Diceros bicornis minor: one gene and its partners. The protein of the gene in region 1 interacts with the protein of each later gene in a pairwise test. Links are inferred from orthologs where the notes say so. Each region holds a gene or a part of one and is shown on either strand. Other genes may lie near its edges.

Region 1 (10,397 bases):
AATCCTACTGTTAAACCAAGCCAGGAAACCCTGAACCACTCACGGTACAGGCATGAACTGGAGTTAACGAGAAGCTTAGAGGCAGAGGGTCATCAGAAGCAGCACTTGTCTCCCAAGCTCCCATCACCCCATGGAGAGTTGTGTTAGCTCCAGGCCCAGCTGGTCACACCACAGGCAGTACCCAGGAGAGGGACCTTGCTCCCTGTCACTCTGTGCATTTACAGCGGGACTGGAAGGGGACAGGTAGCACCTGGCCAATGTGCAGCAATGGTAGATTTGAGGCTGTGTGGAATGGCTCTGCTTGTGAAAAGAACATCCTGATGGCAGACGTCTGTCACCAGGGAAACGTGGTCCAGAACTTCCAGGACTGCTGTCTGCCAGCCCTTTGAGCCCTTCCTGCTGGGCAGCCTGCTGCTAGATCACTGAACAGGATCCCCAAGGTCATCCTCTGAAAAGCTGATTGGTCTCTCTCTACACACCCAGACATGGCACAGTGGAACTCCAGTCAGCCAAAGACAAAGGGAAAATCTTAAAAGCAGCCAGAGGAAAAAAAAGACACATTGCCTTCAAACAAAGGAGCAACCATTAAATCAACAAGTGACTTCTCAACCGCAGGAATGAAAAGCGGAGGACAGTGATGTCCAGATCTTTACTCTGCTGACAGCAAGCATCTGCCAACCTAGAATTCTACACCCAACTGAAAATCCAGTAAGAATGAAGGCAAAATAAAGACATTTTTATTTTATTTTGTAAGGAAGATTGGCCCTGAGCTAACACCTGCCAATCCTCCTTGTTTTGCTGAAGAAGACCGGCCCTGGGCTAACATCCGTGCCCATCTTCCTCTACTTTATATGGGACACTGCCACAGCACAGCTTGACAAGCAGTGCGTCGGTGCGTGCCCAGGATCCAAACTGGCGAACCCTGGGCCGCTGCAGTGGAGCGCGCGCACTTAGCCGCTTGTGCCACCCAAGACATTTTTAGATAAACTGAAACTGAGAGATTTCAGCAACAGAAGATCCAATAAAAAGAAATTCTAAAGGGTGTTTTCCAGGCAGAAGAAAATGATCCTAGGTGGAAAATCAGAGATGTAGGAAAGAATGAAGAGTAATAAAAATGGTAAATATGGGAGTCAATTTAAACTTTGTTCAAAACAACAATTACTATCTTTTGCAATATGTGTATTTATGTAGAACTACAATACGTGGCAATAATACCCTCTAAATTGGGAGGAACCCTCAGGGATGACCGGCAGGGGACCACCAAATCCCCCTCAGGAGCTGCCTGTCCACTCATCTTGTTCCCTGGCTCTGCTTCACGTTCCCTTCTTTCCCCTGCCCGGGCCTCACCTGCTGTGGACTCCCACCTGGTTTTGGATTCAGGGCAGTGCCAGCCCCCTAGCTGGAGTGTACCCCGTTTGTGGGGGGGCATCAGGCTGCTTTAAATATCTCCCTCTCGTCCTGAGCAGGACCACTCACAAGTCTATTGCTAGGCCTTCATTTTTAGCTCCCCACCCAAACCTTTTCTACAATATTTTTCCCCCTGAATAGTACATGTTCATTGCTGAAGACTTGAAAATGACAGATAAGCACACAGATTAAGATATAAATTCCCTGTAATTGCCCTGCCCAGAGACAGTCCCTGTTATAGACCTGGTGACAGGTCTCTTTTCTATGTATATGTGTGGTTTTCTTTCTTTAAAATAAAAGAGGGGGATCATGGTATACACAGTGTCATCTCTAATGCACTGCCCACCGTTCCCGTGTCGTGACTGCTCTTCAAAATAGGATTTTAATGACTGCACAGTTTTCTGTCATGTGGATATGTCATTATTCATTTAGCCATCTCTTTCCTTCCGTCCAGCATTTATGTTGTTCCCATTTTTTGTCCTACATGTTGCTGTGATGAATGACCACCCTCACACACACATGATTGTCTTCCTAGGGTAAGTTACTGGAAGTGTCTTTGCTGTTCAGGGACTGTGCCCATTTCTACGGCTTTGGAGAAACCAGGCCAAACTGCCCACCCAGCTGTGTAAATCTTTACTCTGTTTTGGATTATGCTAAGCTTTTCTCTGAATTTAAAAATCTGCCTTCTTGACAGTCCCTTTTCTATAAGGCTTTCTTATAAGACTTCTCATCAGGATTATTCCAGGCCCATGACTTTCTTCCTGCCATGGCTGAAGCAGCCATGACCTATTGTGGTCATATAAATTCTCAAGGATTCATAACCTCTTTGGACTGGTCAGAACTTGATTTAGGAGCATACAAACAGAATAATCCAAAGTAACAGTGGCTTAAACAACATAGAATTATATTTCTCTCTCACAGATTTTCATCTGTGAGAAGTTCAGAGGCAGACAGGCCAGGCTGGAATGGCATCTCCCCCCAGTCATCTGGGCCCTGGCTCCTTCCAGCTCCATTATCCTAGGATGTGGCTTACATCCTCATGACCCAAAATGACTGCTCGAGTGCCAACCTCTACATCCCCATTCCAGGCAGCAGGAAGAAGACAGTGTCTCTCTTCCGTTATAAGGAGACTTTTAGAACTAACACACATCATTTCTGCTTACCTCTCATCAGCAAGAACTTAGAAGCAGGCCACCAGGGACAGCCCACAGTCAGGGGGAGGGGACTACACAAGGTGTGAGAACCGGGAGGGGCAGTCTTAGCAGTCTGTGGACCCCAGCACCCGACAGCCTGGAGCCTGGCCATCACCATTGCGGCCTGCCCTGCACGAGGGCTGGCACACGGCCTGGCCCCAGGCAGAAGGGCCTTTATTAACGACAGGGCACTGGGACCTCAAGGCTGAAGGCAAGTTTCTCTGCAGTCCTTCCCCTGAAGTGGGGCTGTTGCCATCCTCCTGGGGACAACGCTTCTTGTGGGGATGCTGGGTTTCCGTTTACCTGACCGCTTTGGGACAACCGACAGGCTCTGAGAGAAGGCAGAGATGTGGCTTCTGGCATAGGACAGGGTGCAGCCCTGAGCAGGCTCTGGAGGGTCCATCACTACCCGCATCACCTCTCCCCAAGGCGGCTCTCTCCGAAGCCAACGCACTCTCTGCCCTGCAAGTGGGACAGCTGCCCCGGAGGCCCCCACCATCCTCTGTGCCCCTCTGCTTGCTCACTTACTTCCCCCCAGGTGGTGAGGCTCTGGAGACTGGACCCTCTCACTACCGGCCTGCCCTCCCATCCCCCGAGGCAGGAGATGCCCACAGAACTTTGTGGATCAGGGGTCCTCTCCCTTGCAGGGGAGACTCTTGGTCGGGGAGTCATTCTGGTGGGGGACGTCTCTGGGGTCAAAGCCGCTTCTCACTGCACAGCCACAGCCTCTCCGGGCACGGCGCCCGCCCCTCTCCTCCCCTCCCCCTCGGGCTGCAGACTGCGGGAGGTGCTGGCCCCCGGCCTCCACGGCCCCTCCTCTCTGGGGGCTACACGTGGGCTCCCGCCCCGAAGGACCAATCCCGCAGGTCTCCGCCAACCGTAGGGTCCTCTGGTTCTGTGCAGGGCGCACTCGCTTCCCCCTTCCTCCTCGCAAGGGGAGCCCGACCCGCTCCCCGCAGGGCTGTCCCGGTGAGGCCCTCTCTCGGCCCGGCCACTGGGTGGGCAGGCGCCCCCCGCGGGGGTCTCCAGGCTCCAGGCCCACGGCCGGCCCTCCCTGCGACCCCGGGCGTCGGCCGGGGCTCCTGCCGAGGGGGGCGCTTCTTTCGAGGGGTGCTCCTTCCCGAGGAGGGGGCACCTTCCCCACCGCGCCTCGACCCTCACCCCCTCAGCGTCGCGCCTGTTGCCTGTAGCTTCCCTCCCTCTTCATTCTCAAGCCGCCTGGCCCCCCACCTCCCAGCAGCGTCTGCTTCCCAGCCGCTCACCGCCGGGCCCCGCCCCCACCGCCGGGCCCCGCCCCTCACAGGGCCCCCCCCCGCCCCGCCCCTTACCGCCGCGCCCCGCCCCCACCGCCGGGCTCCGCCCCTCCCCTTACCGCCGTGCCCCGCCCCCACCGCCGTGCCCCGCCCCTCACAGCAGGGCGCCGCCCCTCACCGCCGGGCCCCTCCCCCACCACCGGGCTCCGCCCCGCCCCCACCGCCGGGCTCCGCCCCGCCCCGCCCCTCACAGCAGGGCCCCGCCCCCGCCGCCGGGCCCCGCCGCGCGCCGTGCTCTCGCCAGGGAGGAACGCTGTGATTTCAGCGTCCGCGGCGGCTTCGGGAGGCGGGCCGGCGCCGCGTCCGGCCATTGGTGGAGGCTGCCGCCTCTGGCTGTCAATCCCGCCGGTCCGGCCTGGCCCCGCCCCGCCGGCGAGTCGTCGCGGGACGCACGACAGCGGGTGCTGCCGGGACGGGTCCAAGATGGCCGAGCGCTTGGGTTCCTCCCCTGCTTGCGGCCCTGGGTCTCATTCATTGCCGCGCTGCTGAGCGGCGCCGTCAGCGGGCCCGTGGGCTCCGGAGGCTGTCCCCGTGGGGCGGGAGGCCGCCATGGCAACCCTGGAGAAGTTGATGAAGGCCTTCGAGTCCCTCAAGTCCTTCCAGCAGCAGCAGCAGCAGCAGCAGCAGCATACCCCGCCGCCTCAGCCCCCTCAGCCGCCGCCGCAGGCGCAGCCGCCGCCGCCTCAGCCGCCGCCGCCTCAGCCGCAGCCGCCGCCGCTGCCGCCGCCCGTCCCAGCCGCGGCCGAGGAGCCGCTGCACCGACCGTGAGTGCGGGCCCCTGCACTCCCCACCCGGCGACCGCCGGGGACAGCGGCGGCCCTGCAGACCCGGCCCCGCGGCGACACGGCCACCCCGCGGCCCCGAGCGCAGGGAGGGCACACGCTGGGCACGCCCCTCCCGCTGCGAGAGCCGGTCCCGTGTCCCTCCCCGGCGCCTCGCGGGTCTCGTTCCTTCTCGGGCAGGCACTGCCTCGCTGGCCCTCCTGACGCCACCGAGGCGGTCTCGGCCCCTGTCCTCTGCCTTCCCCGGCAGGCGAAGTTGGGGAAGGAACATGCTGCTTTATGTTTGCAAGAAACTGGGGCTGTGTTGTGAGCAGAAGTTGGAAGAGCCGAGAGCGCGTCTCGTTTGGCTTCCTCTGGGCCTCTTCCTTTCCCTCTCTTAGTTGAGAGGGAGGAGGGCTGGGGGCGCAGGACGCTTCGCGAGGAGCCAGGAATTGGAGCTGGAGTGATGTGGGGATAGTGCATGACATCATGGCTTTAGGACGTGGGGCTGGGAGGGCGGGGGCGTGCGGACGCGGCCCAATGGAGATTCTTTTTCCAGGGGCCCTTTAAACAGCCTGTGACATTCGCAAGACATTTCATTTAGTTCGGGAATGCCAGTGGTAGCAACAGGATTTTAAGCATCGGGAAGAGACCCGCTTGTCTAAGCTCAAGCTGGTATGCGAGCACTTGAATGAGTTGTGGTTGCCAAGTGCATAAGTGGTGAGCTACTTAGACGGTTATTATTAACAAGTGAGAAATAATAAAATTGACTTAGATATTAGGAAGAGTTGACTGAAGTTTTTTGCCTATTTTCAGTTGGAAATAAAAACGACCCATGGCTGAGGGGGAGGTTAATTGCTGGAGGGTGAAGGATGTGCATTTCACCAGTGCAGTACTGTAGTCCAGCTTGCTGGAACGTGGGTGTCTGCAGACCCCGGGGACGTCTGTTTCCTTCGTTGCTGACATTCTGGCATTGTTTGGAAGCTAGGGGTCTCTGTGGCTTGTGCCTGGGAGAATTTTTGAAACAGAAGAAACCATGAATAGCACCTTCTAACAGGACCCAAGTACTTTTCCCTGAAGTCTTGGTGTGCTGAGTGTTCAGCAGAGATTAGGCCTTTCTCTCATCTCAGGGCATTTTATTTCTGATCTGGGGATGTACAAGATGGCATTTAATGAGGATAGTTTTCAAGAAGCAACCCCTTTAAGAAACTCACTCTATTAAAACTGATTCATTTTTAGTAATGTTTTCTTGTTCTTTGTGTTTCTGATACGATCTTTGCTGTGTCCTGAGAGTTTAATTAAAAAATGAGAATTTGAGGAGTAATGTTGGCTTATCTGTTGGAGTAAAATTCAGAAATAAATTAATTTTTCTTGTAAGAGGAAAAACCTGTTTGGATACGTAGAGGTTTTTTTTTTTTTAGGAATTGGACTTATCTTTACAGCAGGTAATTTATAATCATAACCCATTCCAGACTTTTATTGTACTGCGTCTGCAGGAGGTGGATGTCATGGAAGTTCACACATTGCATGGATTTTGTGTAGATTACACGGGGAAGCACTAAGCAGGGCTCTGTGGGAAGGAAGAGCTAACTGTTGTCACTGGTGGCTTGTTCAAACACTTGGTCAATCTAAAAATATGCCTTCTGTTTCTTATGCTGATTTGAGAGAACCTGAATTTGCTCATCTTCAAAATATGGGTATAAAGAAGTTTCTTTCTAAAGCCAGCTTGACAAAGTAGATTGATTTTGTTTCTTTACTTTAGTTTATGGTAATGTATGATGGACTTATTTTAAAAATTTAATCTATTATTTTTGCATAAGTAATACATTAACATGATACAAATTCCAAAATTACAAAAAGGTAATAATTAAAATCTCTCTCCCCCACTCCTTTCTCCTGAGTACCTAACTCTGTTCCCAGAGGCAAGCACTGTTATACTTCCCCCTTTTGTCTCCTTCTGGATATAATCTGTGCATAAGTGAAGATAGATTTTAAATTATTTAAAAACAAAAGTATTTCAGAATAGTAACTTTTAAAAGTTCTTAGCATGCTCTGAAATAAACTGCATTAGGCTTAATTATAGTGACTTTAAATAAAATACACAAATATATTTTTATGTACTTTGCTGTTGAGAAAATAGATATTCATTAATTTTGAGTAACAAACTCACTGCTTACATGTTTGGATCTTGGCATTTCTGTTCAGATGCTTCAGCTGAAAAATCCGTTCCCCAAAGTAAGATTGGCCAAAAGCAATTTAGATAGTATCTGTTCTATTTTTATGGCTCTTGCTCTCTGTTGTGTGAAAGTGTAGTGTTATAGCCATGTGTGGGCTTCAGCTGAAGTATCTGAGTGCCTGCTCTCGGCTCAGCATATAGAGTGCAGGGCTTCTGGTGGGACTGGCATGCAGGGGAGTGCCAGAGCTTGGGAGGGTCCTAACTGTGATTATGAGTCAGTTGACATTTGTCTTTGGCACTTTCTCATTCTCCTTCAGATTCCGACCTAGTTTTCCCCTGACTTTAGTTATTCACTCGTCAGTAAATATTTGTTGAACATCTAATATGTGCAGGCTCTGCCCTCGTGAAGCTTTCATTTTAGTGAGGGACATAGACAACAAACAAGATAGATACCAGTATGTTAGATGGTGGTAAATGAAGGAGGAACAGCAAAGCAGGGAATGGGGACCAGGCAATGTCAGAGTTGATAAGGTGTTGACGTTTTAGATAAGGTGTCCAGGGAAGATCCACGGAGATGGTGGCTTTGGAGTAAATACCTGAAGAGAGTCAAGGTTACAGCCATGAGGGTGTATAGAGGAGGGGCATTCCAGGCAAGGGGAACAGGTCTGAGGCGCCCCTGTTTGAGGAATCACAAGGAGGTCAGTTTGGCTGGTTGAATTAGGGAGAGGGACACTCTTTGTAGGAGGTGAGGTCAGAGATGGAGAGGAAGTACCACCCAGATTAATAGGCCCTTCTTTGCAGATGGAATAAAGACATTGGCATTTATTCTAAGTGTGAGGGGAAGTCATTGGAGGGTTTGGTCAGAGGAGTGGCAAGATTCGAGTTCCATTTAAAAATGAACACTGGCTGAGAACAGAATGAAGGGGAGCGTGGGCAGAAGCAGGAAACCAGTTAGGAAGCTGTGGCCGTGAACAAGCGAGAGATGTTGGTGGATTCTGTCTGGATATTGGCATAGCAAGGTAAGAAGTGACTGAATTTTGAAGGTAGAACCAACAGGACTTGTTCATCTCTGTCTGCTAAGCATAACATAGTGTAGCTATAGTTGGTGTTATCAGTTAGGATTGTATTCAGCAGCAAATAACAGAAAACCCTGCTGCAATCGCTCAAACAGATAAGAGTTTATTATAAGACAAAAGTAAGTCTGTTTGAGGAAGTTCAGCAATAAGATTAGGGACCCAGCCTCTTTCTTACACTTAGCTTTTAAGCCCTTGTCCTCATTCTTTCCCATTTTTCAGTTGAGTTATTTCTCTTTTTGTTGTTGAATTGTAACAGTTCTTTATATATTCTGGATTTTAGACCCTTATCAGATATATGATTTGTAAAAACATTCTCCCTTTCTGTGGTTTCTCTCTTCACTTTCTTGCTAGTTCCCTTTGAAGCACAAGTTTTTAATTTTGGTGAAGTCCAGTTTTCTATTTTGTCTTTAGTTGCTGTGCTTTAGGTGTTATATATACAAAAATGTTACCTAATTCAAGGTCACAGAGGTTTATTACTCCTATGTTTTCTTCTAAGAATTTTAGAGTTTTAGCTCTTACATTTAGGTCGGATCCATCTTGAGTAAATTTTTACGTATAGTGTAAGGTAAGGGTTCAGCTTCATTCTTTTGCATGTAGATATCCATCTGTCCCAGCATCATTTATTGAAAAGACTGTCCTTCACCCATTGAATTGTCTTGGCACCCTTGTTGAAAATTAATAGCCCATAAATGTATGGATTTATTTCTGGACTCTCAATTCTCTTCCATTGGTTTATATGTCTATCCTCTACCAGTACTAGATAGTCTTGATTACTCTAGTCTTGTATCACAGTTTCAGATCGTGAAATGTGAGTCCTCCAGCTTTATTCTTCTTTAGGATAGTTTTGGCTATTCTGGGACCCTTCTGTTTCCATATGAATTGTAAGATTAGATTGTCAGTTTCTACAAAGAAGCCAGCTGGGATTCTGATGGGGATTGCATTGGATCTGTAGATCAATTTCGGGAGTATTGGCATCTTAACAATATTAAGTCTTCCAATCCATGAACATTGGGAAACTTTTTATGTAAATGGTTAGATAGTAAATATTTCAGGTTTTGTGGGCACAACGTCTCTGTCACAACTACTCAACTCTGCCTTTGTAGAATAAAAGCAACCAGAGGCAATATATAGATAAATGAGTATGGCTGTGTTCCAATAAAATTTTATGAATGACATTGAAATTTGAATTTCATGCAATTTTCACATCATGAAATATTATTCTTTGATTTTCTTTTTTGGCCAACCATTTAAAAATGTAAAAACATTTTTCGCTTGCAGGCTGGCCAAATACAGGCAGGCTGTAGTTTGCCCAATCGTAGATTAAATATGATAGGATCACTTTTGGGAAGCATGTGTTTTGGTTCCTTTTTATTAACTAGTTTAAAAAATTATACAAGTTACACATATACATTGTAAAAACATCTGCAAACAGCACAGAAGATGAAAAACAAAGCCCTTCTCCCAGTCTCGTTCCCTAAAAATAACAGTTATTAAATTTCGTTTGCTGCCGCTTTGATTTTTTTTTTTTTTTTTTTGTGAGGAGACCAGCCCTGTGCTAACATCCGCCAATCCTCCTCTTTTTTTGCTGAGGAAGACGGCCCTGGGCTAACATCTGTGCCCATCTTCCTCCACTTTATATGGGACGCCGCCACAGCATGGCTTGCCAAGCAGTGCGTTGGTGCGCGCCCGGGATCCGAACCAGCGAACCCCGGGCCGCCGCAGCGGAGTGCGCGCACTTAACCGCTTGCGCCACCGGGCCGGCCCCCGCTTTGATTTTTTAATGCACATACAAACATTTAAAGGTGTCCTTTTTTTTTTGTTTGTGTGACTGAGATCACACTATATTTTTTCACTTAGCAATAACAGTAATAATAGACATTGTCCCATAGCTGTACATATAATTCTTATTAATTGCTACATAATAGTGTAGAATTTCTTTTTAAAAGAGGACTTTTGGAGATGTAAAGGCGAAGATCTTACATGGTCCTGGCTTTCAAACCGGCTGCTGACATATTCTTTCCGCCCTAAGAGCCCCACCCGTATTACCTCCAGTCCCTGCAAGCACTTGGTGAACTACCGTGGAGTGGATCTACCCTCAACACATTTAGTCTTATTCAGACAATAAGGAAAAATAAAATATAAGACACTGTTTAAAGATATGGATAAAGATAAAGATATAAGACACTGCTTAATCTTGTGTTAAATTGAATCAGCTCGGGTGCTAGAATATGTGTTAGAGACAAGATATGCCATAGATCCTTGCTGCTCAAAGTGGAGTCTCAGGGCCAGCAGTTTGGTATCACGTTGGGGGTTTATCAGAAGTACAGAATCTCTCCCCGACCTTAGACCTACCAAATCAGACTCTGCATTTTAGCAAGTTCTGTGAGCAATTTGTATGCACGTTAAAGCTTGAGGAGCTCCACTGTAGATGCTCAGGCCTTGCCTTTGTTGTGGTCGGTAATGCTGTCAGC
Region 2 (10,397 bases), on another chromosome or scaffold:
AATCTAAACTCTTACGAGCCAACCCCGGTGGTCTAGTGGTTAAGATTCGGCACTCTTACCACTGAGGCCCAGGTTCACTTCCCAGTCAGGGAACCACACCACCCATCTGTTGGTCATCATACTGTGGTGGCTGCGGGTTGCTGAAAGCTATGCCACAGGTTATTTCAAATGCCAGCAGGGTCACCCACGGTGGACAGGTTTCAGCAGAGCTTCCAGACTAAGACAGACTAGGAAGAAGGACTTGGCCACCAACTTTTGAAAAAACTGGTCATGAAAACCTTTTGAATAGCAGCAGGTGATTGTCTGATATAGCGCCAGAAGGTGAGATGGCGCAAAAAGCTTGGGCAGGGTTCTGCTCTACTGTACACAGGGTCGCTAGGGGTCAGAATCGACTTGATGGCACTAACAGCAACAAAAACTCTTACCGTACTTTGAATCTGTACAATTCAATTTAGCTCTGAATTATATAATCTTCTGTTTTACACTGTTTCAGATACCATCTTGTGCCCTTAATTATAGTCATATGCAATTTGAGGGTAATGACCCCATTTTAGAGATTTGTGGGCCCATGGTGCATACCATTTGTCCTAGACATAGCGAATATAATCGACAAACTGACAAGGTTTTATCTTGAACTCCTCGGACTTTCATTATCTCATAAGATCACAGAAACTCAGAATTGGAAAAGACCCCAGACCTTGTCATGTAGTCCAACTCCCCCGCCAGGGCAGGAATTCCCTATAGATGGCTATCCAGCCTCTGCTTGAACACTTCCAGGGCTGGGGAGCTCACCCATCTGCAGGCAGTCTATTGTACTGGAGGACAGCTCTCTCTCCTCACCTGCTCCCTTTTACGAAAAAGATACATCCTCAGATTCCATTGCAGAGAGACAGAGGGCGAGTTCTGCAAATTGTCCTCTGCCAATCCTGTGCCCATACCACCGTAAACTGAAGTCTCAATATGCCTCTTTAAATCCTGCACAATCTGACCCAGGCCCTACCTACTTGCTTTGGAATCTTAGGCAAATTATGTCACCTCATTAAGTCTCAGTTTCTTCATCTGTAAATGGGGCAACAATTCCAACCTCACAGGTTGTTGCGGAGATTAAATAAGATAATGCATGTAAACATTGTCTGGCCTACAGCAAGTACTCGGTAAATACTAGCTGGTGTGAATGGAGGGTTATAGCAGATGCTGGCATGATTGGAATAAGGCAGGCTAGCCAAATAAGGCATCATGCCTGAGATGAACCTGAAGTAGTGCTTTTCAGAGAGAAAATGAGGGAGCTCAGAGAACAATAAGAGAGCATTTGGGAATGGCCTTTGGATAAGAAAATGGAGTTTCTAGCTGAACTGAAAAGCATATATTTAAACATTAGCAAGGGTCGGGGTTGCGGGGGAGCCACCTAGTTAAGTACACAATTTGACATTGAAGTTAATTGGGAGTCACTCCAGGTTTACGAGAAGTAGAGTAATGGATCACAGCAGCCGGACTCAAGAAAGAGAATTCCTGCTGCTGTGAGGTTAGACTGGAAGGAAAAGAGCAGACAGGAGACAGGTGCTGGTTCAGTTATGGAGGACTGATCTTTGACATCTGGGATTTTTGAGTTCTGTCTATTTCTTATACTTTTTTTTTTTTTAAAGATTTTATTTATTTATTTTTTTCCCCCCAAAGCCCCAGTAGATAGTTGTATGTCATAGCTGCACATCCTTCTAGTTGCTGTATGTGGGACGCGGCCTCAGCATGGCAGGAGAAGCGGTGCGTCGGTGCGCGCCTGGGATCCGAACCCGGGCCGCCAGCAGTGGAACGCGCGCACTTAACCGCCAAGCCACGGGGCTGGCCCTCTTATACTTTTTTGTTTTGTTTTGTCCCATTCTGAGCATATGTAACTGCCATTAGGAGCTGGTCTATAGAACCTCTATTGCCCCTAATCTAACAAGTTGTTTCAACCTGTAATGGGCCAAAAACCAAATAATCAATCTTCATTCACCATTCATTCGCTCACTTATTCACTCATTCGTGAATACATCTATCCACCAAACAGTCACAACAACCACTGATTTGACTAGGCTCTGGAATAACGTGGAAATGAATAAGACATAGCCATGGTTTTTAAGGGGTTTACAGACTTCTGGGATAAACAGATTCACAAATAACTCTTACACTAGACAGATTCTAAGTACCACAAAGAGGAATGAACAAAATTCTATGCTGGGGGTTGAAACAGGGGAGCAAATCAGGCTGTATTTGGCCAGCAAATGTTTTGTTTGGCCCACATGGTGTTTTACTTTGTTTTTTAAGATTAGGTGCCAACATTTAAAAATTAGGACACTTCACATAAAAACCCAGATTTCTAGCCTGTGATGAAAATAGGAAGATTTGAGTACACTAGGCCAAATCCTGCAGGGTGGTAATTGGCAGGAGCTGAGTGGCAGCTGCCCCGTTTAGGCCGAGCACGAGCTCTCCAGTGTGCCACACTCCTTGCCATTTCCTATTACTGTCTGACATCGAAGCCAAACGTTCAGTTGCTAGTTATCAGCAGCTTGTGCTGTGGGTACTTTTACAACAGAGTTAAGAGAAAAGTAAAGAGAAATTTTTCTTTTACTCAAATCTCTGTTAAAAGTAGAAGTGAAAGATATACTGGTAGGGCTATGTGTTTCAAGAAAAGTGGGGTGTAGAATAGAAAAACACTCCTAGGGAAACCAGACAATTCCTCGTGTTTAGGATGCAAATAAACATCTCCCATTTATGTTGCCTGCCTGACTCCTGCAGGCGTTTGAGTTTGCAGCCTCTGTAACACAGGGAAAAAGTCATGTAGTGGCTAAGAGCATTGTCTTTGTAGTGAGGAAGCAAGCTGGCTCCACCCCTTACTCACTATGTGACCCTGACAAATTATTTACCCTCTCTGTGCTTCATGTTCCTCATATGTAAAATAGAGGTAATTACAGTACCTACCTCAGAGGGCTGTTGTGAGGTGACAGTGAGATAAAAGACATGAAGTTCTCAGCCAGTGCCTTGCACATGGTACGCGTTAGCTATTACCAGTGCAGTTCAAAAGAGAGAGCGACCATCTCCAAAGGGAGCCTTAAAGGCTGTTTAGGATTTCATTGTGAGGAGACGAGGAAAGAAGGCATGCTTTCTTCACACAGAAAGGCCTAAGAAAAGATGGAGAGGGAATGGCAAGTGTCCTGTTCCAGTGGCCAAAACAGAGGCTTCACAGTGAAGCTGACAAGATCATCCAGGACAATTTTGAAAGTCAGGCAGAGGAGAACTATCCAATAAGTCAGTATTTCCCAAAATGCATCATTGTGTGATAGGTTTAGGTGATAAAAATGGACATTAAGTAACACTGAGTCATAAAGTGAGAGGTCATTCTCCTTGGATTCTCTGTCACGCCTTCTAATCAAGCGTAGTTCTTGGTTTGCTGCTATTCATCCCACGCACCTCTCTGACCACACTTGCTAAACCCCCGGTTCTAGAGAAGGTAGACCTCAGGCTTAAAGGCTCCCTAGCAACAGTATCTAGCTACAACTTATTAACACTGTCTTGTTTCTCCTGGTTTTAAGTGTTACAGTCACCTTATTATAGTGATATTGATTTTCAAATATGGAGCAATAAAATTTTCTTGTAAAATCATATTTAAGCGAAAATAAGTGAGAATTTAGAGAAAAACGTGAAGTAAACAAGAGTATGGGAAACACGTATGTGGATGTGACAAAACTGTGCAGTCTGAGAAACACTGTCATGGGTGTAAAATGAGCCCAGGACGGATTTTAAGTAAGGGAGCGACAAGACCAGATTGTGAATACGTGTAAAACCCCCCCGCCAGCCCACTACCTCACGTGTGGCATATCCCTTTGCTCCCTCTCCAGACCTCAGTTTCTCCAACCGCAAAGGGACCTCGCAGTCGCCCAGACCCGGGGTTCAGTGCCCTCAGCCCAGGCCGCGGGCCCGTTGCCCCTTGCAACCACAGGGGTTCACGCAATGGCTCCCGCCATCCCCGGGGGAGATGGCCTCCCGCTCCTCCCGGATTGCCCCGCTCCTCACCACTGCTCTGCTTTATCTCTCCACGTCAACACGGCCCGCATCGCGGCTTCCCTCAGGCCTCGGACCCCTCCTAACCGCCTCAACAGCAGTCCCCGCTCCCCGAGCCACTTTGGCTACCTGCGCTACCCCTGGCAACGCACATGCGCAGTGAGCTAGGCGCCCGGCCGAGAGTTCCGAGTGCGCATGTCTAAAAGGAAGGGCTAAGAAAGGAGCAAAAGGAAAGAGGGAACGGGAGCCTCGAAGGCGTCTGCGCAACTACGGCGCGCGCGACTGGTCGGAATGGGCGGGGGGCGGTGCGTCTTCCTCGACAAAGGATTTGATTGGCGGAGCTGCGGAAATGGCGGCTGTGGCCAACTGGGTGGCGGAAAAGCCGCTAAGGAGGATGACAGACTTTCACTGCCTTCAGCTTGTGGTTTCACCTAGCGCTCTGAGCTGAAGAAGTTTTCACATCTTACTCTGCTCCACACCCAGGGCGTTGCACCCTCTCGGTCGGTTGCTGAGGCTGGAGCCCGCTTGAGGGGCACAGCGGGGATGGAGAGTCCGAGTCTGGGGGACTGCGGAGCTGCCCCCTTGGGCAGCTCCAGTGAGCGCCTTGTCCCAGACCGGCCTTGTGACCTCCGGTAAGCTGTTGCCCCCTTTCGAGCCTCGGTTTCATCAGCTGTAAAATGGGAGCGGGGGAGGAGAACGTGGGTGGGCCTTTGTAAAGTAGGGTCGACAGAGCCGTCGAGGCCCCCCGGGTGAGATACTCGGAGGTGAGGCTGGAGCTCAGGTTCTCCTGGGGTGGGGTCAGCCCTGGGGTGCTCCCGACTTCGTTAGCCAAAATGACGAGGGAGCCGGGAGTAGTAGGGAGGTTTTGCGGTGCAAGAAGCCGTCTGCGTGGGTTAGAGGATCCTGGGAAGACCTTGGAGGAGATGTCATGTTAAGCAGCCAGGGGCGCCCCAGAAATGGGTTCTGTGAGAAGTTAACAGAGGAAGCACTAGTCGTTTATTGAGTACTTGTGTATGTGCGATATGGGGCTAAGATGATTTACCTACTTTTCTTTTTCCCCCCAAATTTAATCCTTAGAAAACTATCTTAAAAGAGGTATTACCTGCTTTTTACAGATGGAGAAAGGAGACTTTGAGAGATTAAGTAACTTGCTCTTGGACACATAGCTAGTAAGTGGCAGAGCTGGATTTGAGCCCAGGCGGTTGACCTTAAAGTTTGTGCTGTTTTCACCAGGTTTCAGTTTCCTTATCTCTAAAATTGTGACCTATATAATTTCTTAAGATCCACCCAGCTCCCCAAAATTATTTAACTCCAAGTTACATCAGAAGACCTTGATTCTAATTCTAGTTAGTCACTAGGTTTTGCTTAGTTTTCCTATTTGTAGGAAAAAAGTTGGGTTAGACATCTCTATAGACCCATTCAACTTTTAAAATGTGTGATTTAGTGATTAGGATACACTCTACTGAAGTTTTTCAATAATAGTATAAGGAGAGAAGTATTAGATCAATATTTAGTAGACCTGAGTTCTGGTATCAGTTCTGCAGTTAACTTAATCTTCCTGTCACAATTTTATCAATAAAATGAGTGATCCTTATCCTACCTACCTCATAAGATTACCATGAGGATCAAGAATGAAAGAGATGTGAAAATTCTGTATCAGAAATTATTACATTTTAGAGGGTTACAGCATCTGATGAAAATGATAGACACTCTCCCCCCAGAAAAATGCACATATACATAAAATTTTTACCTCACTTATTTGGAGAGGAGGAAGGTGTCTCATTGACTCCTTTAAGCAGTGCTGTTGATCCCAGGCTAAGAGCGCTGCTATTGGTTTATATTTTTAAACTTGTGCCAAATGTCACCAGAAATCTTTATAATAGCTTTATTCAATGATTAACAAAAAAATCTTATACCAAATAGCTTGAGCTTTTCATTGTGCAGAGATGCCCAACCCTTTTTAACCCACGTTGGAAGACAAAAAGATACTCCCATAGCAAGACTGGTCTATACTGATTCTGATCTCTCCCGTAGTCCATATAGTCCATGTGGTTCCTGCTCTACATGGATTGAAATTGAATAAGCAGAGGAAAATAAATTTTAAATGAGCTAATCACTTGTACTTTGTTTTTTCAGCAAGGAAGATGTTGTTCTGGGATCAGAAACCGTGGGCCAAGATGAGAAACAAATGGTGATAAAAAGCAGCAGTGAGCGTAATCCCCTGCTGCAAGAACCCATTGCTTCTGCTCAGTTCGGTGGTACTCCAGTGCCAGAATGCCATAAGTCTGTCCCATGCGGATGGGAAAGAGTTGTGAAGCAAAGGTTATCTGGGAAAACAGCAGGAAGATATGATGTATATTTTATCAGGTGAGCGTGCAAGATAGTAAAGATAGTACAGCCAAATAATTTTGTCTAGACAGTTAGTGGGAAAGCATAGTGGGAATCTTGGCTTTTTTCTGTTTTTACCATAAAACCATTATGGATTCCATTCCTTCAGTGTCACTGGTTAATTATATCAAGTGATTTGGGGACAAGTACATACATTTTCTCCTACTCTGAATGGTTAACGGTAAAGTTGTACTTAAGTTATATTTGTAAAATTATTTTATACTGTCATACAGGAACCTATTTAAAAGTACCATTTTATCACTGTTTTTTATTTTAATGACAGATGCCCATGGCAACATTTGGAAATTATTAATAAAAAATCTGAAATGTCCAATTCTTTTTAAAAGTCACTTTTATTTACTAGTAATAAGTTTCCTTTAATATCATTTTCTAGCCCACAAGGACTGAAGTTCAGATCCAAAAGTTCACTTGCTAATTATCTTCACAAAAATGGAGAGACTTCTCTTAAGCCAGAAGATTTTGATTTTACTGTACTTTCTAAACGGGGCATCAAGTCAAGATATAAAGACTGCGGGATGGCAGTTCTGACATCTGGACCACAAAATGAAAGTAACAGTTCAAACTGGAATCTCAGGACACGAAGCAGGTGGAAAAAAGATGTGTTTCCTCTGCCAAGTGGTAGTTTGAAATTACAAGATAGCAGAGGACTATCTAACTTTACTTCCATTCATTTGCCTTTGAAAGAAGATGAGGGTGTTAATGATGCTGGCTCTGGGAAGGTTAGAAAGTCCAAAGGAAAGGTGACTATTTTGAAAGGAAGTCAAACTAAGAAGACTAAAACAGGGTGTCAGAAGAGTCTTTCAGCTTCTATTCAAAGTAATAGAAAAAGAGAATCTGTGTGTAATAAGGCAGATGCTGAAAGTGAACCTGTTGCACAAGAAAGTCAGCTTGATAGAACTTTCTGCATTTCTGATACCAGAGCAAATAACAAGACCCACAGTGTGACCAATGAAGAAAAAAGACACGTAAAAGAAAAATCATTGAGTTCAGGATCAAATTTTCGTTTTGATCAAATAACTTCTGGCATCATAAACAAATTATGTTCAGCCAAAGAAGCAGAACCCAACAGGAAGCGTGAGGATAACTTTTTAGAGTCTGAGGAAATAAGAACAAAAGTAGAAGCTGGGGAAAGGGAGCAACATTTGCATACTGACATTTTAAAATGTGGCTCTGAAACAAACAACTGCTTACAAACCAAGAAAGACTCTACTTCTCTGAAAACATTTCAAGGTATTCAGTGCACTAAAGTGCTATAAAACATGTGATGAGTTTATACTCCCGGATGTTGTATTTCATGCCTGTACCCGGTTAGGATGTGGGCATAGAATGAAGAAATAGGGCCAAACATCAGATACCTTCTACCAATTGATCTTAGTACCTTGTCTAACCGATCTTCAAGCCGTTTCCTATGGCAGAGAAGGAATCCGCTGCCTACTGCCTTGATACCTAGCAAAGGAGAATTGTGCCATTAACAGCTGCTACCGTCTCTCCCTGGTGTAATAGCTGGGACGCTGCTCGACAGTGCTTTCCCTTCTTCCCATCTTCTTTCCAGCCAGTAATCTTACAACTTTAGGGAAAATGAAAAGGCTTCACTTGTGAAAAGGTTTGAGGAAGACTCCTTTTATACATAAACTGGTTGAGAATAGTCGGTTTCTTCTCTTTGCACCCCTCTTGTTACTTATTACTGATAGGTGACTTCCAATTTAACTTTGTATATATCATAGTCATTTTTATCTTTTATTATAATGTCATGTGTCTCTAAAATGCTTTAGAGCTCTGAATAATTCAAACCTGTAATCACATAGTTCATCTGTTATTTATAATATACTCTTAATACAGAGTTCAGAGCTTAGCATTTTGCCTTTGTAGTACCTCAGTGAATAAGAGATAAAAAGGAGAACTTTTGAGCAGCCCTGTATTAGTTATTCATTATGCCCTTATGGTATAATGAATAACTCCTTTAAAGAAGAATAGAATACTCCTTTAAGAATAATTTTACTTCAAGTCCTGTGGGGAGATGGCCTGGAGAAATTGGTGGAGCAGGGGGTAGACTTGATTCCTGCTGTCAGTCCCATTCAGGATTTTATGTCTTTGCTGTACCTGGGATTTCTCTACCTTTTTTTTTTTTTTTTTTCTTTTTTTCTTTGTGAGGAGATCAGCCCTGTGCTAACATCCGCCAATCCTCCTCTTTTTTTTGCTGAGGAAGACGGCCCTGGGCTAACATCTGTGCCCATCTTCCTCCACTTTATATGGGACGCCGCCACAGCATGGCTTGCCAAGCAGTGCGTCGGTGCGCGCCCGGGATCCGAACCAGCGAACCCCGGGCCGCCGCAGCGGAGCGCGCGCACTTAACCGCTTGCGCCACCGGGCCGGCCCCGGGATTTCTCTACCTTTAACAGAAGATGACCCTATATACCTAGGAACTGCATAAAAATTCTTCAAGTCTGTCCTTTAAAGACTTTGAGCTTCTTAAAGACTTGAGGTTTATGTAGATTCATTGCTAGTATAATGGACAAATAAAATATTAAAAACATCCTTTTGCTAATAAAATGGAAGTATCCTTTTCATTCTATATATAAAGAAGTCTAGTTCTCAACATAAGATGAAGTACCCTTAGGCTAATAGATGTCCAGTGCGATAGTAAAGACTTTCCCATTGGCTTAGTTAGAAATTGCCCCCAAGTAAACTGAGCTTCAGTCTCTTAGTAGTAAAGGAGGCCAGCTAGTAATGATTTATAGGAACCCACGGAAGAAATTATCAAGTAGCTAGTAAGAGCAGTTTCCTTTGTTCTCTTTTTTACTTTCTATTAGGCTTTGCCTGTTTAAACTAAAATAGCAAAAAACACTAGGCTAATTATCTGGAGGCCTGGATATTTGTCCCAATCTATAATCAATCCCACTATTGTTTTGAGATGGTTGCTTAATTTCTAAGCCTTAGTGTCTTCATCTGTAAAATGGAGGTAATAACCCTCTCCAGCCCTGTTTTTCACATCAAGAATATTGTCAAATGAGAAGTGAAAACAATGGCTTCGCACTATACAAATGCAAGGTATTATTAACTGACATTCAAATTTAGAGGGTATGGCTTATAGGGAATATTAAATGTGATTATTTTAGAAACTTGAGAAGCTTGATAACACTGGTCAAATAGTCTTTATTGCATTAACTGAGCTGCCCAGGAGATAGTGGTCTCAGGTGTTCCAAGGTCCAAATGTTAGGTTTTTCTGCAAGTTCTGTTTTGTCTGTTTCATTTTTTTTTTTTTGGTAAGTATAAAAGTGTTCACTGCAGAAAATTTGGAAAATATAGAAAATTAAAGGAGAAAAGAAAAATTAGCACAACCATTATACCATTTTGGTTTATTTTATTCTAATTTTTAATCGTTTTTTTTTCTTTTTTTATTAAATTGAGATCATGTAGAATATTGCTTTTTTCAGTTAGTTAATGACATGGGAAAATATTCGTGATATAGTCTCAAAAATATTTTAATGACTACATAGTACAAATGTGTCATAATTTAAAATATTCCATATTATTTCTAATTTTTCAGTACTGTGAACTCTGAACATAAATCATAGAGAACTAGTGTAAGAAAATGGTTAAAGGCAAGGACTCAGGAGCCAGACTGCCTAGATTTGAATTTCACCACTGACACTTACTAGCTGTGTGACCTTGGGCAAGTTACTTAGCCTCTCTGTACCTCTATTTCATTATCTGTGAAGTGGAGATAAAATAGTACCTAGCTTATAGGTCATTAGTAGAATTAAATTGGTTAATTTTTATAAAGTGCTTAGAATAGTGCCTGGCACATACTAAATGCTTTATAATAGTGTGCTGTTGTTATTATTCTTATTTGCATTCCTGAGTATTTCTTTAGGCTAAACTGTAGATTCTATAAACATGTTCACTTTTCCTTTTCAGAAGACACCATCCCACAGACACAAATAGAAAAAAGG
Region 3 (10,397 bases), on another chromosome or scaffold:
TAGAAAAAGACAAAAAGAGAAGTGTTACAGGAAGGTGAGATGTGGCAAATTGTTGTAATATGTTGTGTGAATTACTGTGCAGCTGTCTGGGCCCTTTACTTACCCACTCCCAACTTTTTCATCACTTTCCAAGAGAATGAGTGTCGAATGAAGGGAAACTAGTTTATTCCATTCTTTGTAAGTATCTAAGGGATAACAAAGAGTGGGAAAGGAGACAACCCAGTAGCTAAAGTGATGCATTTCAGTTATCCACAGATGTGTATTGTGCTGTTTTTCACCTGCCACCATAAATAATTAAAATTTTGATAAAGTATTAGGAGTTACGGTTGAGTGCTTCAGGGCTAAGACTTTTAATACTCAAGATACCTCAGTGTGTATTCATTTCTTTTGAAATATCCAAGCAGTTCTAATTTCTACCCAGCTCTAGGGGAAGGGTGCTAAGAGTAGCCAGCAGATTTCACTGTGTTCGTATATGACGTTAGATTTTACCAAGTGCTTTCACATCCATTTTCTCGTTTGGTCCTTACAACTGAGAGGTCAGTAGCATCCCTGTTTTCATGTATGAGAAAACTGAGGCTGAGAGATAGTAATTTTTTCAGGATCACACAGCTATTAAAGGGCAGAGCTGAGACCGAGACTGGAATATCTGACTTCAGGTGCAGTGTTTCCATGACACTGTGCTGCTTCCTGAGGGTGGGGGAGCTTGGGCTCCGAAATTCCAGGCATTAGTTTGCTGATCCCTTTTACTCTCTCTCCTCGCATCCTCCTGGATAGCAGTCCTTTGAGAAACAAGGTTTTCATTCCGGTACTCCTGCTGCCTCCTTCAACTTGCCTTCAGCCCTAGGAAGTGGGGGGCCCATCAATCCGGCCACAGCTGCTGCCTATCCACCTGCCCCCTTTATGCACATTCTGACCCCCCATCAGCAGCCGCACTCCCAGATCCTTCACCATCACCTGCAGCAGGATGGCCAGGTAATAGCCCTTTCCCTCTCTCCTTTCCCTTCCTCTTCCTTCCTGTCCCTTAAAACTGCCTCCCCTCTCCTTTTCTTACCCTTCCTCACCACCACCTTCACCCAGTCCTCCCCAGCGCCAGTCATGGGCACACAGCACATACAGACACAAGCGCACATAACACAAGTGGCCGGCAAAGGAGATGTCAGAGGAGGGGCCATTGAAACCTTTTTTTGCCCCATTCCTTTGTTGCCTTTCTCCTCCACCTCCCGTAGCACAGTTGTCCTCATCCCATTAGACCTTGGTCACACCTCCCCTCTTACCTCTCCCAGCCTTCCCCCTTCCCTGACATTATAGCTTTCCCTTCTAATGGTGGAGTTCTATTGTCAAAGTTTGTCCCTTTATTTTCCATATATCCTGGTTCTGCCTCAGCTACCATATTTGCAGATGATTCTCTGTTGCCAGCGCCAGCAGGAGGAGCAGGTAATGAAACTCAATGATGATATGCTTGAACCCACTCCTTTTCAGTCCCCATTTCACCTCCACAGCCTTAGGGACTTTGAAGAGAAAAGACTGCACGGTCACAAATCGGGATACACAAACACAACACCTTGCTGAGCTCTCTGGCCTCCCATTCCTCTCTTGTCCTCCCCTCCTCAATGCCCTCTTTTTCTTTCTACCCTTCCCTAACTCTGGAAACACTTGGTTACCGGAATGGAAAGGATTCTTTGGGCAGCATCTGGAGCCTGGGGCCTCAGACTCTCTCTCCTGAAATGGGCTCACAGATGTGATGTGTGATAGGGGTGGGGAGCCACGGGGTGGTGTGAGCGACCTCTGCTCCATCATAGGTGGCTGGGGAGCTGGAATAAGAGCTTCCTTGCTCTCCAAGACAGCTTTCCAAATTGAGACATTCATGGGGATCAATGAAAATGAAATCACCTTGTGATCACTCATCTCCAAGAGGCCATAATTCTCTGTAGAGAGTAGCCTTTTCTCAGACCAGGGGAGGATGGAGGTGGGGGTGGGTGAGGGGGATTTGAAAATGCATAGAACTGATTCACTGTCTTGTCTCTAAAGGTATCTTGCCCTCTTTTCATCTTTCCCCTATCTAAAGAAAGTGCTTTCTTATCAGTGGTGCTCTAGCAGCCATATAAACCGAATTTTCTATTGTTGAGAAGCTTCAGAGCCGTTTCTAAGCAAGGGGGATGGGAGAGCAATTTCCAAATCTCCACCTGAAGATATAACAGTTTGTCCTAACTACACACCTTTTTCCTCCCCATCATCCTCCCCATTCCCCTGCAGACGGGCAGCGGGCAACGTAGCCAGACCAGCTCCATCCCGCAGAAGCCCCAGACCAACAAGTCTGCCTACAACAGCTACAGCTGGGGGGCCAACTGAGGCCCTGACCCTCTTCTCCCGGTCCCATCTTCTGAGAGGGCTTCTCAGCCTGGCAACTATGGAAACAGCATCAAAGAGAGAAAGGAATGTGGGGGGGGTTCCGCTGCCCCCCACCCCCAGCGGCCCACCCCATGCCTCAGCTTCATGTCTGTCCCATTCCCATCCCATCCCCACTCTGTTGTATGTATTATAGGATTTGTATTTTCTCCTTTTTTTTTTTTTTTTTTTTTTGGTCCTTTCCTCTCCTCCTCCCCCCTTGCATTCAAGATTATGAAACTTTGCTGTGGGCCTTGCCCTTCCTTCTCCTCCTGTTCACCCTGGTGGTGTATGGGTGAGGTGGGGAGGGGGCCCCCCCAAATATATATCAGCCCAACAGCCCTAAGTCTCCTCCTTTATTATTAGGAAACAAAACAACAACAACAAAAAATGGCGTCATGAATATGAAAAGCGTTGTCAGATGAATTAGTTGAAGTGTTTTTTTTTTTTGTACTGTGTCCTCAAATTTAATGGATTAATGTGTCTTGTATATATAAAAAAAAAACCTTTACCTTCAGCCTCTGCCCATTCTTACTCTGTCTAGGATATCCTCAGTCTCGTCGATGACCAGCTTGGTGAATAAGTATTACTGTACCAACTGGGCCTCTAGGCCCCGAAGGCAGTGGAATAAAATGAAATCTTCACCCTTTAAGAACTCCTCTGACCCTAATGTGCTACTGTCTTGCCCTTGAGGGGATTCCCTTCCGTTCTCCCCTAAGACTTGCACAGCCTGGTGCCTGGAAAGAACCACCACAAATCTTCATTTCCTCCAGAAATCGACATCTACAGCAGATTTTAGGCAGTGAAGGGAGTGGGATAGTGGATATTGGATGGAAAGCAAGAGGATTAAGAAGGAGCGGAAAGAAATGGCTTTGTAGTCCAAGTATAATTTAGATGGGTCCAGGCAAATGAACTGGAAAGAATGGGAGGCAACATACACTGTTGGATGGCAAAACTGACGCTTGGGGCTCATTTCTCCTAGTAGACTACAGCAGTTCCTGCTTGTTGAGTGCTTTCATTTCACATGGCTATACCCAACTCCTTAAAAAGGAAGAGTCTAGAGCAAGGCCAGGGTTGGGATGGGGGTGGCGGGTACAAGGGGGGGAGGGTTTGAAAATCAATGATGGGAAAAGGGGGATAATTATAGCCCCAAATTCTTCCCTTTCAAGACCCTTCCCTAGATTTCCCTTGCTCTCTTAGAAAGCTGTTATCCTGCTGGTTGCAGAGCATGCCTAGAATCAAAAGAATCCTTCATAATTAGGACAAACTCCTTAGTAGCTGGAGAGGAAGTTAAGTCCTTGCATCCCCGTGTCTTTATCTCTGCACAATTCTGGGGAATGCAGTACTAGAAGGAGCTTGATAAAACAGCTGTCCAACCCTCTAATGTTATACTTAGGTCAGTCAAACCAGCAGGACCGAGGAAAGGGGCGAGGTGGCTTTCAGACGGAAGGACCGGTAGTCCGTGGATGAGCCGGCGGTGAGGGAAGGTCTCGGACCGCTTCATTTGTGGGGATGGACTGCCACCTGGTGCCTTTATCTGGTACCATCCAGCGTCAAACCCTCCAAACACTATTGGACTGGGTTGGTCCAATCAGGAGAATCGGCTTAGGAGGCAGGTGATCACTGGGAAATAGAAATTTGCCCCGCCCACTACCCTCACAGGAAACAGGTAAACAGGGGTAAGGAAAGCCTTTCGAATTTGAGAGGACTGTCCGGCCTGCCCCCTACCGGCGTCTAGCGTACGGTCGTTTTACGACAGTGTCCTGCTCGCAGGCTTGCTTTCCGGCAGCGTGGTCTGACGTTTCGCTCAGTTTCCGACAGCGAAGCGTAGGCTGCCCCCAGGTGTGAATGGGCCTCTGGTACGGTTCGAAGGTTCGAGTCCCAATACGGGAATGAGCCTCTTTGACATTTTTCGGGGGTTTTTCGGCTTTTCGGGACCTCGGAGGTGAGAGTGGGTCCGGGTCGGACAAGGGGGGTGGTCTTCTGAGGGGAGCTTGACCCCTAACACCCAATTTTTGGAAAAACATCCTCTTCCCTACTCCTTCAACTCCTGCGGAGAGGACGGAAGTCACAACATTGAGCACTCACCCCGCAGCAGTAGCCAAGGCGTCGTTAAGAGGAGGAGAAACAGCACCTTAAGCCTTTCTCCAATCTGGGGTGATGCAGCAGGGCCCGGGCGGGGAAGACAGTGGGGCTCTGGGGAAGACGACAATGAGCAAGTGAGCAGGAGCTTGGGAAAGAGGGGAGGGGCTGGGGGACACTGAAGAAAAGCCGAGGGGAGGTGTTTAGGGGAGCTGCGAGGTGAGGACTGACTGATAAAAACTAAGACAAAACAAAACAATACCCAATGGCCAGTCCTCTAAACCTCACCTCAGCTCCCCAGAACCCTACTCTTATCCCACTTTGCCACCCGTGAGTTGATTTTATGGTTTAAGTAGTTCTGAAATCTTGGTGGCCAATCTGCCTCTACCCCAACTACAGAGATCCCTTTTTTGGAGGGATGACTCGAGATGAAGATGATGAGGAAGAGGAAGAAGAAGGAGCCACGTGGGGCCATGGAAGCTCGAGGTTTGAGGGTCCCCAGCCCCCGGAGGAATTTGGCTTCGGCTTCAGCTTCAGCCCAGGAGGAGGGATGCAGTTCCATGATAACTTCGGCTTTGATGACCTAGTACGGGATTTCAATAACATCTTCAGCGAGATGGGGGCCTGGACCTTGCCTTCCCGCCCTCCTGGTGTGTGGCTGCCCCTGAGGGAGAGCCTTTGGTTTCTGCTGGGTTGGTGGTTGAAATAAGGAGCCTGCAGAGAGTAGTTGGGGGATGGGAAGTGTGAGAAGACTGATGATTTCAAGGAGGTTTAAAAGAGCCCAAGTCCTTTCCCACCCCCAGCATCCACCTGCCACCTTTCTTCAGAACTTCCAGGTCCTGAAGCAGAGACACCTGGTGAGAGACAGCAGGAGGGACAGACGCTTCGAGACTCAATGCTTAAGTATCCAGATAGCCACCAGCCCAGGATCTTTGGGGGGGTCTTGGAGAGTGACATAAGAACTGAATCCCCAAAACCAGCACCAGACTGGGGCTCCCAGAGACCTCTCCATAGGGTGAGTACATCTGGGTCTGAAGCGAGAGCCTGTGGGAGACAACTAATGGAGTGCAAAGACTGGCATTCTTGTTGGAATCGAATGGACTTGAGTTGGAAACTTAGGCCCTCCACTTAGTGTATATTTTCTATATTAAGCTTCTTTTAGGGTTTTCTTTGGGGGAAAATGGGGGTTCTGTTTTTGTGTGTGTGTGTGTGAGGAAGATTAGCCCTGAGCTAACACCGGTTGCCAATCCTCCTCTTTTTTGCTGAGGAAGATTGGCCTGGGGCTAACATCCGTGCCCATCTTCCTCTACTTTATGTGGGACACCTGCCACAGTGTGGCTTGATGAACGATGTGTAGGTCCACACCCGGAATCCGAGCCTGCAAACCCTGGGCTGCCAGAAGTGGAGCACGTGAACTCAACCACTACACCACCGGGCTGGCTCTGGGAGTTCTGTTTTTTCTTAAAAAAAACAAAACAAAACCCTGGTCTATATGGTTCTGTGACAAGGCAGGATTGTTGGGGGAGGACAGAAAAGTATCAGTTCAGGAAGTCTTTTTGGTAGAAGAATACATAAAGCAGCTAGGCAGGAAGGCGGGGTGAGTAAATAAAGCTATCCTGAATGGGATTCTCTCTCCTGAAAAAAGGTAGTTTTGGAACTTGGGAATAATTTGGGTACTTTGATCCCTCAAGATTCAGATTGAAAAGTGTCATTTTATCTACTTTGGCTTCTTCTGCAGTTTGATGATATGTGGCCCGTGACCCCCCACTCTAGAGCCAGGGAGGACAATGGTGAGTCTGGAGGGAGAGGACGTTCACCAGACCTCTGTTCTCCCAAAGTTCCCTCTATTTTTCCTCCCTGAGGTTTCTTCCTGCCACACTTGTCCCCTTCTTTCCTTTGGACTCTTTCTTTCCTGTTTCATCTCTCTGCCCTTCTAGATCTTGATTCCCAGGTTTCCCAGGAGGGCCTTGGCCCAGTTCTGCAGCCCCAGCCCAAATCCTATTTCAAGAGCGTCTCTGTGACCAAGATCACTAAGCCAGATGGGGTGAGTTGGGAGAGAGGAGTAAAGGGAACTGTGGCCAGAGGATGCTCTGGAAAAAGGGATCTATGTAAAGAAACCAGTGAACTCACCTTTAGTGATGTTAGGGATATGGTGGGGGCTTCTCCTTGTAGACAGTAGAGGAGCGCCGGACTGTGGTGGACAGTGAAGGTCGGACAGAGACCACAGTAACTCGTCAAGAAGCAGGTGGCAGTCCTAGAGATGGTAAGTGAAGAGTGTGAATGAAAGGGGTCCATCTTTTAATTCCTTGGGGAAGAGAAACCCTCTTCTACTCTTTAATATTATTTTTCTCCTTTGCGTCTGCCCAATCTTTTTCATTTCAAGAAAGTGTATCACTTTCTTCCTTAGATCCAGAAGCACCAACACCTCCAGCCCTGGATGATACCTTTTCCATCCTGGATTTATTCCTAGGACGTTGGTTCCGGTCCCGGTAGCCTTGTTAACCCTCAGAGACCTTCAGGTTCTTTCCACCTTCCACCCTTTGCTCACCATCAATGGGCTTAGCCTCTTCTGCCACCTCCGGGCTTGGGTGTGTCGAACAGTGAATTGGGGGTATGTCAGTATGTCACTTGCCCAAACTGACTAATAAAACGTTTATTTATGCTAATTCTTTAGTCTTGGTTTTGTTAAGGCTGTTCCACTTTCTAGCACCATCCAGGGCTTCCAAAATTATCCTGCCCACAGTTTTCTCCTTATGTCTTAATTTTTCTTTCCACTTTCAAAACCTGGTTTGATAAGTAAGGGTCAGGTACCAGTAGAAAATGATTTTCTTTACAGAGGAGATAAGATGACTAGAGATAATTCCAGGAAAATTTATAGACAGGGATGCATCAGATTACAAAAAAAGGAAGTGTGTGAAAGTGTGGGAGATAACTGCTTCCCTAGATGTGGGATCACTATGATTGGATACTTCATGAGATCATTTGAGGAAGTATATGGGCAAATATTTCTTCCTTTATTGGCTATGTTTTTATTTTTTTATGTAAGAAAAAGTATAACTAGCAAAAACATTACTGGATCTTTTTCTCATTAAAAAAGTTTTTAGCACTGGTTTAGAGCGGCAGGTCTTACAAATTTATTTACCTCTGTTTCCTCTGGAAACCTCACGAAAATAACAATAAAGGGATTTTTCTAAAGAGGCATATCACAAGAACAAAGGAGAGGAGATATAGTAATGAACTTTTGTCTTTTTATTCTCTTTTTTATATCTTTTGGTGAACAGAAGATGATTCATTGTAGCCAAATTTATCTTTTCCTTTATGGTTAGTGCTCTTTATATCTTTTAGAAATCTCCCCAAACCCAAGGTTAAAAGGATGCTGTCCTTTATTACCCTCTATGAGTTTTTCAGTTTTGCCTTTTACATTTAGTTTTCTTAATCCACCTGGAATTTATCTTCCTATATGGTATGAATCAGGGGACCAGTTTCATTTTTTTCATTTGGGAAAAAATATATACACATATGCACATATATACACACATATTAACATATGTGCACACATACATATATATAAATACATGTATGTCCCTGTGCTGGGTCTTTCTACTCTTTTCTGTTAATCTATTTATCTATCTTTGAACCCATATTACACTTTTAAATACTATAGTTGTATTTAGTAGAACAAATCCTCCCACCTTTTTTTTTTTTTTTCCCCACTAACTTCTATAGTATATAAGAATACAATTGAGATTTCTAGTCAGCTTTTTACAGTCAGTGCTGGGGGTCTAGTGGTTAAGATTCAGCACTCTCACCACCATGGCTCAAGTGTTTCCTGGTCAGGGAACTACATCACCCATCTGTCAGTTGTCATACTATGGCCACTGTGTGGTGGTGTGATGCTGACAGCTATGCCACAGGTATTTCAAATACCAGTGGAGTCACCCATGGTGGACAGGTTTCCGCGGAGCTTCCAGACTAAGACAGACTAGGAAGAAGGAACGGGCCACCCACTTATGAAAAAATTTGCCATAAAAACCCTGTGAATAGCAGCAAAGCATTGTCTGATATAATGCCAGAAGGTTAGAGCTTGGTGCAAAAAGACCAGGCAGGGTTCCGCTCTGCAGTGTCACTAGGAGTTGGAATCGACTTGGTGGTACTAACAACAAAATCAGCTTTTTAGAGTACCATCATAAACACAAATGGAGCCAGAGATTACCAGACATCTGTGGACAGCATCCAACATGAAGGATGGAGACTCATACAAACAAAAGAAGCAACTTGGAAGAAACAGAGACTATGCAGAAAGATGAAAATTTAGCAAGAACACAAATCTTTAATATCCTTAGAAATATGAGATGATATACCCATAAAACCAAAACAGGATGCTACAAAAGAGGAATTAACAAAATAAGAATGAACTTTGGGGAGTTAAAAAAAATATGATGGCAGAAATGAAAAACTATAAAAAGGTCTGCATGCCAAAGTTGAGGAAATCTCCAAAACAGTAGACCAAATAACAGAGACAGAAAATAGAAGGAAAAAAGATAAGAAAATTAGGGTAGTATAAATTATCAAAGAAATAAGTAAAGAAAATAGCCCAGAAGTGAAGGATATTACTTTGTAACCTGAAAGGACTCACTACATGCTTGATATCAAGGATGAAAATAAATCCACTCCAAGGCACATCATACAAAATTTCAGAACACTAGAGACAAAAGAGAATCTAAGTGATTCGAGAGAGAGAAATCACATACAGAGGATCAGGAATCAGAATGTTCTCAAACTTAAACAGCAACACTGGAATTAAAAGACAATGGAGAATTATTTTTAAAATACTGAAGGAAAATTATTTCCAGTCTAGAATTGTATGCCCAATTAAACTATGAATTAAATGTAGGAGTATAATAGACATTTTTAGACATGAAATGGGGTATCTATAAAAGGGGTTTCTATAAAAACCTATACCAAACATCATATTTAATGCTGAAAGACTGATGCTTTCCCACTAAGATTAGGAACAAAGCCAGGATATCTGCTCTTATCCTACGTTGTATTGGAGGTTCTAGATAGTGCAATAAGGCCAGAAAATGGAATGGAAAGGAAGAAGTAAAACTGTTTACAGATGCCATGACCTTGTATGTAGGAAAAAATCCTAAGGAATCAACAAAAAAAAATTACTTGTAGTAATAATTGAGTAGAGCAAGGTTTCAGGATACAAGATCAATATACAAAAAAAGAACAAAAAAATGTTTTTCTACATATTGGCAACAAACAATCTGAAAATGAAATTAACAATTCCCTTCATAATAGCATAATAAAGAATAAAATACTTAATTCTGACAAGAGAAGTGCAAGAGCTGAACATTTTTGAAAACTACAAAAATTGCTGAGATAATTAAAATCTAAATAAAAGGAGAGATATACCATGTTCATGAATTGGAAAACTTAAGATAGCAATTCTATCCAAATTTATCTATAGATTTAATGCAATTCCTATCAAAATCCTAGTAATTTTTTTTTTGTAGAAGTTGACAAGTAGTTTCTCCTCAATGTGGGACCCTGTTCTGGAAGGTAGACCAGGTGCATCAGGTAGCCCCTTCAGACTGTCTTCTGTGGGCCTCTTGAAATCACCCACTATTGGAGGAGTAAAATCCATGCCAGTTTCAGCACTTCTGAAATTGACCTGCAGAACTTTCCAGGGAATACTCGAGGAGCATTTGGGGGTTCTCCTGTTCTTGGGTTTATCATATAACCTGTTGCTTTTCTCTACTCTCTGCTTCTTGCACAAACACTGGTGCTGTAGGGGTCTTATGGCTGTTGATGTCGTCCCTACCCATTTGTACTACAGGGTTTGAAAGTATACTTGTCACCTAGTTTTATTGTACATGTTTTTAATGAGTCTTCGATTTTGCTATCTAGTCAATCTTTTTATG

Evidence for each region.
Region 2: the proteins of HTT (region 1) and MBD4 interact in binary tests that used the Homo sapiens proteins (3 or more experiments, as listed by UniProt). The link is inferred for Diceros bicornis minor from reciprocal best matches to the Homo sapiens genes HTT and MBD4.
Region 3: the proteins of HTT (region 1) and HAX1 interact in binary tests that used the Homo sapiens proteins (3 or more experiments, as listed by UniProt). The link is inferred for Diceros bicornis minor from reciprocal best matches to the Homo sapiens genes HTT and HAX1.

Annotation. Positions count from the first base shown.
Region 1 is NC_080747.1:2,406,480-2,416,876, forward strand, and holds the start of HTT (huntingtin), read left to right. Parts: upstream 1-4,338; 5' UTR 4,339-4,462; coding exon 4,463-4,677; intron 4,678-10,397.
Region 2 is NC_080741.1:87,873,239-87,883,635, forward strand, and holds the start of MBD4 (methyl-CpG-binding domain protein 4), read left to right. Parts: upstream 1-4,377; 5' UTR 4,378-4,578; coding exon 4,579-4,667; intron 4,668-5,150; exon of another isoform or gene 5,151-5,204; intron 5,205-6,171; coding exon 6,172-6,402; intron 6,403-6,817; coding exon 6,818-7,674; intron 7,675-10,362; coding exon 10,363-10,397. Other genes in the region: IFT122 (intraflagellar transport protein 122 homolog), read right to left, coding at 4,048-4,088. UniProt on the Homo sapiens protein: Mismatch-specific DNA N-glycosylase involved in DNA repair. Has thymine glycosylase activity and is specific for G:T mismatches within methylated and unmethylated CpG sites. Can also remove uracil or 5-fluorouracil in G:U mismatches. Has no lyase activity.
Region 3 is NC_080743.1:58,336,327-58,346,723, forward strand, and holds HAX1 (HCLS1-associated protein X-1), read left to right. Parts: upstream 1-4,233; 5' UTR 4,234-4,277; coding exon 4,278-4,330; intron 4,331-4,866; coding exon 4,867-5,117; intron 5,118-5,294; coding exon 5,295-5,482; intron 5,483-6,205; coding exon 6,206-6,257; intron 6,258-6,404; coding exon 6,405-6,511; intron 6,512-6,639; coding exon 6,640-6,730; intron 6,731-6,874; coding exon 6,875-6,960; 3' UTR 6,961-7,133; downstream 7,134-10,397. Other genes in the region: UBAP2L (ubiquitin-associated protein 2-like), read left to right, coding at 775-972, 1,384-1,434, 2,254-2,349. UniProt on the Homo sapiens protein: Recruits the Arp2/3 complex to the cell cortex and regulates reorganization of the cortical actin cytoskeleton via its interaction with KCNC3 and the Arp2/3 complex. Slows down the rate of inactivation of KCNC3 channels. Promotes GNA13-mediated cell migration.